Ovis aries: one gene and its partner. The protein of the gene in region 2 purifies or fractionates together with the protein of the main gene of each other region. This does not show direct contact. Links are inferred from orthologs where the notes say so. Each region holds a gene or a part of one and is shown on either strand. Other genes may lie near its edges.

What was found. Proteins that work in one complex are often made in the same cells at the same time.
Region 1: the proteins of S100A4 (region 2) and PPFIBP1 purify together in Homo sapiens (co-immunoprecipitation; 3 studies listed by BioGRID and IntAct, with this or other methods). This does not show direct contact. The link is inferred for Ovis aries from reciprocal best matches to the Homo sapiens genes S100A4 and PPFIBP1.

Annotation. Positions count from the first base shown.
Region 1 is NC_056056.1:187,917,917-187,922,714, forward strand, and holds the start of PPFIBP1 (liprin-beta-1), read right to left. Parts: upstream 3,259-4,798; 5' UTR 3,091-3,258; intron 1,879-3,090; exon of another isoform or gene 1,724-1,878; intron 1-1,723. UniProt on the Homo sapiens protein: May regulate the disassembly of focal adhesions. Did not bind receptor-like tyrosine phosphatases type 2A.
Region 2 is NC_056054.1:104,001,837-104,006,388, forward strand, and holds S100A4 (protein S100-A4), read right to left. Parts: upstream 2,885-4,552; 5' UTR 2,727-2,884; intron 1,889-2,726; 5' UTR 1,874-1,888; coding exon 1,733-1,873; intron 723-1,732; coding exon 558-722; 3' UTR 422-557; downstream 1-421. Other genes in the region: S100A3 (protein S100-A3), read right to left, coding at 4,504-4,552. UniProt on the Homo sapiens protein: Calcium-binding protein that plays a role in various cellular processes including motility, angiogenesis, cell differentiation, apoptosis, and autophagy.

The DNA.
Region 1 (4,798 bases), on a different chromosome or scaffold from region 2:
ATTCATTCACTGTTTTGAAAAGGTAATTCAAATCAGATCAGAAACATGTAATAATATCTCTGAAAAGACAAGAGTGATGAATGAGGTCTTTTAGTTAACAGTTTAAAAGATGTGCTTTTGAGGATATAGGTATTTTTTAAAATGGGAGATCAGAACCTCAAAAAGTTACTTTTAATGTGACAAATTACCAACATAATCTAAATTAACTACAAAAGTACAACTAGTTCATAAATATGAAAGGTTTTAAAAAGAAGTCAGCTAGTCAGTAATGGGGGGGGGGGGGGGGGGGGAATTGACCTTATTCTGATTTATCTCCTGCAAGCACAGTGAGCAACAAAAAGACTACCTAAACAGTTAATGAACGCTCTCTCACTGAACCTGATTCCAAAAAATGACTAGAATGCCCCTGAAGTTAGGCACTATTGATATGTAACAACAGTGTGCCCTGTATTTCAAGTAAACATCTGTCCACAAAGGCCAGATTATCCCATTTTTTAAAGGAGCTATCGTAGCTGGTCAAAGAATTTAACCAAAACCTGATTCTACCTTTCTCAATAACTCAAACATCTTTCAAGTTTTGTCCTTTGAACATACTGTGTTTTAGTATACCACATCTGCCTCCTACACACAGATGGAGAAAGAGAAATGTTGGTTAAAAATAAGTATGTAAACTTAAAGGTTGCTACTCAAACTGCGAATGCAATTTAAAGCTTTGTTATATTCAAGTCAGTAAGCAAGGACTCATTTCTTGGAAAGAATTATAAATCTGAATTTGGAAAACAAGATAACATCCTAATGATACTACTTGACTGGTTTTTGCAGCTTTCTTTCGGTATTACAAATACTCCATCAGTCAAGGCTTCAGAGAGCTCTCACCAGCCCACAGGAATTCCACCTCACCTCCTGGACTTTCCTGCTGAAAAAGTGCATTGGAAAATACAGTGTGTTTTATGTACTTCTACTCAGATGGTAAACAATTTGTCTGTAATGCAGGAGACCTGGGTTTGATCCCTGGGTCGGGAAGATCGCCTGGAGAAGGGAATGGCTACCCACTCCAGTATTCTTGCCTGGATAATCCCATGGACAGAGGAGTCTGGGGGGCTACAGTCCATGGGGTCACAAAGGGTCAGACTGTACTGAACAAATAACTCTTTCACTTTCACAGAACATAAATAGCAAAGACTCGGTCACCATTATTTCAGTGACATTAGCCAATTTCTGTTTCTCAGTCCAAAACACAGCCCAAAATTAAAATATATACGCTTTTTCAGTGAAGCACACCTCCTCTTTGCAAAAAAAAAATCTACTCTTAATCCATCCTGTGCAAATTAAAAATTTTAAGAACAATACAGATCCAGGTGTCTTATGCATGCATGCATGAGTGTGCGCTCAATCACTTCAGTTGTGTCCAACTCTTTTGCGACCCTTTGGACTGTAACCCGCCGGGCTTCTCTGTCCATGGGACTTCCCAGGCAAGAATACTGGATCGGTTTGCCATTTCCTCCTCAAGGGGATCTTCCCCACCCAGGGACTGAACCCATGTCTCTGGTGGTTCCTGCACTGCAGGTGGATTCTTTACCACTGAACCACCAGGGAAGCCCTTAGGTGTTTTATAAACAACAGCAAACAAAACACCTCTTTTTTGCCCTGCAACCTAACTGGTATCTGGCTAGAAACACAGAGAACCCCATCAACAAAGTCCTGTGTCTCCACACTTCCCGACCTGGGTTTATTAGATGCAATATTGTGGCTTCTTTCTTTCCTCTCCGGAAATGCCCTGACGTACAGGCACCTGGGATGCAGCTTTTGATTCACAAAGAAGTCCACGCCCGTTTCCTCCCGACCTGGCAACAGAAGGATCCTCACTGCTGAGGCACTCTGGTGAAAGAAAGGGAAACTTGACTCAGGAGTCCCAGCCCAAATACTTTCTTTGCTTCCCCAAAAGAAAGAGCCTTCAGCACTGATAAGTGAGGGTTCTCAATCAGTGTATGAGGTCGTTTTTCCCCAGAAAGTCAATCATACCCAGTTAGTGACCTGGGCACACAAACACCAAGCAAGAAACAGCTAAAGGGTTTGAAACCGGAAATAAACAAAAAAACAGAATTCTGTACTTCTGCTGATCTAAATATCCTTTTGCTCCCTACAGGCAGTTCCTTTCCCTACATACCGAACTGGAACATGAGATCAAGTTCTTCTTCTATTGCTCCCTGCAATTCTTATTGAAAATAAGGATCTGTTTTGGCCCCACATGTTGAAAAATTCATGTTCCTATAATTAAGAGTTTGTTTGCCACGCCTTCAGCCACATTTCCCAGTTAAAACTCCCTTCTCTAAAAATGATCCATGAAAACAACTACCAGCTCTCGTCTTTCTCTGAAACAGCCACAGAAAACAGATATGAAGGTTCTCAACAGCCTTTCTAACCTTTCCAGATCACAACGTTGGCAACCAAAGGGATCCTCCGTTAGGATGTGAGAGAAAAAGAACCGGCGTTGAAGCATGCCCCCAAGAGACCGGTCTTCCCACAAGCTCATAATTAATACACTCCAAGTGAATTTCTCACGTTCTGACGGAACTATAAAAAAGGATTTCTTATATTATGATATAAAAAATATGAATAACATTGACAGACTTTCATTTAAATGTAATACACCACAGGGGAGCCAATAAAACACAAAAACTTTTGTTCTCTCATCATAATTTTTGAGTCGATATTTCATAAACTTTTTGTGACATTTTAAAATAACACACACACACCCCTACACACACACACCCCTACACACACCCACACACACAGACACCACACTTCTCTGATTGGGGTTCTCAAGTATTATTAGGAGACTGGGGAGGGGGCGGTATTTAAGGAAACAGACAAGATCTCACACGTCCAATCCTGGAGGTATTTTTCACCTAAAAGCTAGTTGGGAGCCCCAGGAGTTAAGCCTTACCCCACCCACCAAAAAGTGCCTGCTCCCACTGGGAAACTGGAGTGAGCTGGAAAAGAAAATCGAGCGGTGAAAAGGAGGAGCAGCTGCAACCACACAACGGTGCCACTACACTCCGGTCCCCGAGAGGAGCCAAGCGCCCTTACCTGGGGGGAGGAGAGCCGCCAGCACGAGTTGCAAAAGTTGTGCTTCACCTTCGCCCGGAGTTCAAAGCGCCGGCACTCCGGCCCCACCGCAGGCTGGCTGCCCCGAGTCCTCTCTCGCCCGGCTCCCGCCTTCCCCACCCTCTCGGCCCTACACCATGTCAGGAATCCGGGCAAGCACCGAGCTGGGAGCTGACATCACTCCCAGTCCCAGGTACCTCCCCTCCCTCGCGCCCTCCCACCTCCCTCGCCGCGGGAAAGAGCCAAAGAGAGCGCGCGGGAGGGGCGTCGGCGCGCCGCGGTTCGCTCTGATTGGGCCCTCGGACTGTCACTCAGAGGAGCCCACTAATTTTACACATTCCTCTCTGAGCCCGGCGCTGGGCTGGAAGTGGGTGTTGATGGAAAAAAATGCTGCCTTTCCTGCTATCTGTAAGGGAAGGAGAATCATGGTACGAGGAAGATCCTTGCAGGTGGTGTTTTAAACTTTTCTTGGCGCGTTTCCCAATCCCCCAGGTCAGAAACGAAACTAACCTATCCAAGCCCCCCTTTGAAGGAAAAACTGTCGCCTGTGTGTCACGGGCAAGTCCGAGTCCGGCGGCGCGTGCAGCAGAAAATGGCTAGCTTGAAGTCAGACAAATAAAGGAAACCGCCAGCTCGCTCAGCTCCCCTTTTATCTTGGGGTTGCTGGGCGTTCCCTTAGAACGGGAAATTTAGAACTTCAAAAGCTCTTCGAGAAGATAGGGAGGACAATCCTAGAAACTGCGACCCAGCTCTAGATTGTTAACCCTGGGGCGTTATCGACCATGCGGTTTGCTTTTGCTTTTAGTGACGAAAATCACAGCACGCGAGCTTCCAGGCAAATAAAATTGAACCTCTGAAGTAATAAAAATTACTGTTTACCTTTTTTTAAAGACCTCAGGGCTGCTGTTTTTATACACAACTGAAAAGGGGTGGAAATCTCACAATTGAGTTCAGCAAGCCACAGGAGAATAATTATTGTTGAATGGAATCAATTGCAGTGGCTGAGCTATCAATTAAGAATTAACTAACGTTTACCCTGGCAGCTATCAGGCTATACCCTGGCTAATAGAACAGAGAGATTCTCAGGAAATGGGTCTTTCAGTTTGCCTAATAACTGCCCCAAGGCAGGACTGAATTGTGAAACGTGGCCGTCTTTATATGAGATAAAGATAGATTATCCGTCATCTTCTGGAATTACAATGCACTGATTACTGACTTTCTCTTCATTTTTATTGTTTGTTTTTTTGATGGATGAGGACGTGTTTATTTTGCCATTCTGCCACAAATTGTAGAAGGGATGCACAGAGTCCACCAGTGTGTCTGAGTTAATTCCCACAACCATCCTGTAAAGTGAGTGTCATTAGCCCCATTTCAACATAAAGGAATGAAAGGCTCAGCAAGGTTACATAAGTAAATGGCTCCAGGACTGCAGTTGAAACCAAGGTTTATTGGATTCTGAAGCTATTTCTTCTCTCTAGAGCAGTGATTGCCCACAATCTACACACATATAATGCCAAAAATAATAATAATAATAATAATCCACCAACCCCAGCAACTGCTCTCACAGACCAATTTCTATATTATCAACATTGTGCTGTTTGTCAAACCTACACTGCTCCAAGCTCCTAACTTTACTGAATCCATTTTCCCCCAGCTCTAAGTCCTTCTATGCACTACTTCCAAATAAGTT
Region 2 (4,552 bases):
TACTTCCTCCCCATGACTCAGCCCTTTCCCCACCACCCCAGGGCACCCACACTCCATTCCAGACCCCAACCAGGAGCAGATGTGACCTCCGAATCCATCCCAGCCTCAGTCAGAGATCCTGCCAGAGGCAAGGCTGGGGAGGTGGGATGGGTGAGAACACTGGCTAAGATCCTACAGCCAGGATGTTCCAAGCCTCTGGGGTCCCTTTCCCTGCCTTTGACCCCATCCAGAGTCGACTCTGTCCTTCACACACATGCACAGTCCCCCACATCCCTCTCCACTTTCACTAATCTGCTCTCCACTCTCCAGAAGACTACAGCTCAACTCCCAGCATCCTCCATTACCCCCTCCCCACTGGCCCCACCAGGCATCCCTCAGGCCCCACCCCACGCCCCCGGAGTTTCTCAGACCATCAGCCTCATAGCTTTCAAGAATCTTTATTGAACTTGTTCAGTATTGTGCTCACATCTGGAGGAGCCAGGGTGAGGTGATGCGCCCACCGCCAACAGGGAAGACCCCAGCTGGCAGCCCACCCCTGCCCCACACCTGAGGAGCCTTCATTTTTTCCGGGGCTGCTTATCAGGGAACCCTTCGAAGAACTCATTGCACATCATGGCGATGCAGGACAGGAAGACGCAGTACTCCTGGAAGTCCACCTCGTTGTCCTTGTTGCAGTCCAGGTTGCTCATCAGTTTCTGGAACGCAGCTTCATCCGTCCTTTTCTGCAGGAGGAAGAGGCTACAGGTGGAAACCGGAAGCGAGGTCGGGGTCGGGAAGTGGAGCAGAGCTAGCACCGGGTGAGGTCTGAGCTCCAGACGGGAGCTCAGGAGGACACAGGCACCCCTGCGGGGCCTGGCTCTGGACCTCCAGCCCTAGGGGCTAAGCTACCCCTCAGATGAAGTCTGAGGACCTGGGTACAACTGCGTAAAGGAGACCACAGCCTCTTCTGCCAAGGTCATTTTAAGAGTCCAATCATACAGTGGTCATGAAAGCAATAGATAAACAGCGTAAAGGTTGATACAGACGGCATCTGGGATTGCTCAAGAGAATTCTGTAAGTGTGTGAGTGTCTCCAGAGAACTGTATCTTCACGTCCACAAGCCAAACAGAAACTCAAAAATGGTTTATGGGGCGGGGGGATGGTGATAAAATAGAAATATGAGGTTAACAGATATACACTACTGTATATAAAAGAGATAAGCAACAAGGATTTACTGTATCACACAGGTAACTGTATTCAATATTGTGTAATACCTTATAATGGAAAAAAATCTGAAAAAATAGATATGTGTATATATAGCTAAATCACTTTGCTGTACACCTGAAATAAACACAGTGTAAATCAACGATATTTCAACTTAAAAAAAAAAGGCATATAACTTTCACAGAATCTTAAAAAAAAACAACAACAAGTTTCATTGCTGGAGTGATGGCAAGAGTTTGACCATCGCAGTTCATGATCTCAGCTTTAAACACGGACTTCCTTGGGAAGTTACTTAGCCTCTCTGAGCATCAGTTTCCCTCCAGGGAAGTTGTACAGAGCACCATACCCTATCTGCTCACTCTGCCCTCTTTCTGAGGGTGCTAGGAAGTGAGCTGTGGGTGCTCACCGTGCTTTGGCCCCAGGCAGCCAGGGTAAGCTCTCTGCCTGGAAATTGCCCGTGTCAGCAGCAGATGCCAGCTGTAGGTAATGCTTCACAGAGGACGGGTGCCTCCCAGGCAGTATCACTCACCCCTAAAAAGCTGGGCAGCTCCCGGGTCAGCAGCTCCTTTAGCTCAGACTTGTTGAGCTTGAACTTGTCACCCTCCTTGCCCGAGTACTTGTGGAAGGTGGACACCATCACATCGAGGGCCTTCTCCAGGGGGTACGCCATGGCAGCAATCAGGAGCTGGGGGCAGGGTCACAGAGACAACCTTATTTTCCCCACCCCACCCCCAGCTATGTATTTGTAAATGCCCCCCACTCCCATCCCTCAGGGAGCACATTGGTGACACTGCTCCCATCCAGAAAGGGGTTCAGCTCCTAGCGGGAGAGGGAAATGTATGCTTGGGGCAGTGAACCCCTGCAGGGCCTGGTGCTCAGGCTCCGGGTTCCAGGCAGCCAGCTCCCCAGGAGCACTTTCTCCACCCTCACTTGGTCCATTCACTCACTGGTACGCTCAGCCCACAGCAGCCCCACCCCAGCCCATTCTTTCCCCCTCCCAACACTGGGCTGGGTGAGGCTGCTGGAGGCTTGCCCAGGGGCCTAGCGGAAAAAACCAGTGCATAGGGAGGGGCAGGGTGAGGTGGCAGAGGCACGGATGCAGGGCAGGGACGGGGAGGCCACCCTCCCTTGGGCTGGGCTGCTGGTGCAGGACCGAGGCTCCTAGGACATAACCAGCCAGAGCCCACAGGCGCCTTCTGCCTTCACTGTGCTTTCCACATCCAAGTGTGCCACCCAGCAGACACCAGCCCACACACCCACCAGTGTGTACAGCAGCAACAACGCACGCAAGCCCCGGCATCACAGAACCCCTCAGACAGTTCCCACCAGCCACCTCACACTTGTTGTTCTTTCCTGAGTGCACACGCACTTGTGCACACGCACACCACCCACCCCAGAGCCTCCACATCGGAATCTCACATCTGGACCCGTTTAGTGCCTCTGGCCCCCATCCACCTCCCTTTCTCCTGCACCCAGCCTCGGCCTGACACCTCTTGCATGCCAGTCAGGCGACCACAACTCACCAAGAGAGAGGAAGTGCTGGGGAGAGATGATGGGGAGAGAGGAAGAATGGGGAGAACCCAGCAGTCTGACCTATTTATACCCGGGCCAGGCCCTGCCCATGGCAGGGGATGCGGGAGAACAGGACCCAGCCCTCCTATCGTGGGCTGATGTGGTGAACGCCACGGCCCCCCTCCACCCCCCTCCACCCGCCCAGCCTGGAAAGCTAGCTTCCTGCCCCAGCAGGCACAGACGGACATGGGAGAGCCCCAGGGGCACAGGCAGGGGCCTGGAGGGTGGGTGTGCACAGCTCAGCTCGAGTTTTAGGGAGCTGGGGGGAGGGACAGGTTGTGCCTGGGGCATGAGGGACAAGGAGGACGTGGTCCCACCAGGCAGCCAGCATAGAGGGGTGGAAGGTGGCAGGTGGGAAACTGCCCTGGGATGCGGCAGCCTGAGAAGACAGGGAGGGCCCCTCAGTTTCGGTGCTGGGGACGGCTCACGCTGCCCTGCACCCCTCCCCAAAGAGCTTCCTACCTTGTGGAGTGAGCCCCGGGACAGTGGGAGCTGGGGGTCTGGGAGGAGGAACTGGCTAACACCCAAAGGAGGCTTGGGGACCCCCCGCAGGCACATCCTTGCAGAAAGGCGCTGGATGCCAGAGTGATGGAATGGGGAAGGAGAGGCATGCCTTGGGGCTCAGGGATGGACTGAAGGGACCGAGAGCAGTGGGGTGGCAGAGGGCGTTGGGAGGGGGCTTAGATTTGGCAGAGGGCTTTGGGAGGGGGCTTAGATTTGGGCTGGGTGTCAGGGATGAAGAGGGCAGGGAGCGGAGGAAAGTTAGAGGTGATGCAGCACAAAATGAGGGGAGGCAAGGATCAAGGGAACCTCCCAGGGTAAGGTATGAGCTCAGGGGTTGAGGGAGGGTCAGGAGTCGGGGGTTAACCCCTCAGGTGGCTGTGGCTTCAAGGAGAGGGGTCTGCCTGAAGGTCTCTCTCCTTCCCCCTTCAGCAGCAGAGCACCCCTCCCCAAATGATCAGGGAGCAACACCCTAGTCCAACCCCTGATCAGATTAGTGCTGCACTCTGGGCTCTCATAGCCCAGGGGCCGGGGACAGACCCGCCCTCTCCCCTACGGCCCCACCCTCCTCCCAGAACATCTGGTCTGGGGGACTGAGTTTGACCCTCCTCTCACCTCCTTCACAGCCCAAGGGAGCTTCTTCTTCAGAGACCTGCCCGATACAGACAGACAGACAGACAGAGAGCCCCCCCCGCAAACCATCCTCCCATGGGCATCGTCCCCGAGTTGCCCCCATGCCTTCCTGCTGGACATTAGGACCATTTCATTTCCGCAGGGTCTGAAACTGCCCTCAACCTCCTGTCCTCCCGTGGAAAAGTCCAGGGAGGGGTGACGCCCCAGTGGGACTCTGTCCCCAGGCCGTCCTCTCAGAAGAACCAAACAGAGCCAAGTGATGCCAGTTCTTTATTAGGAACAAAAGGGGCCTTTGCCGCCACAATCTCTCTCCCAGACATGCTCTTCTGGGCCTTGACAGCCACCACCGCTGTGGCTGGTGGGCGGAGGCAGCGGCTGGCTGCTCTTCAAATCACTAGCTGTGATTCTGGGGATGGTCCCCTCGTGTCTCCTGGACCCATGGGTTGACACACCAGGGGCAAACCTGGGAGATTCTAGAAGCAGGAGCCTGGGGGGCTGGGAAGGGGAGAGCTGACGTGCCCAGGATGACCTTGGGGCAGAGTCAGAGCGGTCGAGAGGACCCCAACCTCTGCCCTCTGACAGCAGCCCTGCCCGTTACTGGGAGCAGGAGGGCTTCAGGGGGCTGTCCTTCAAGTACTCATGG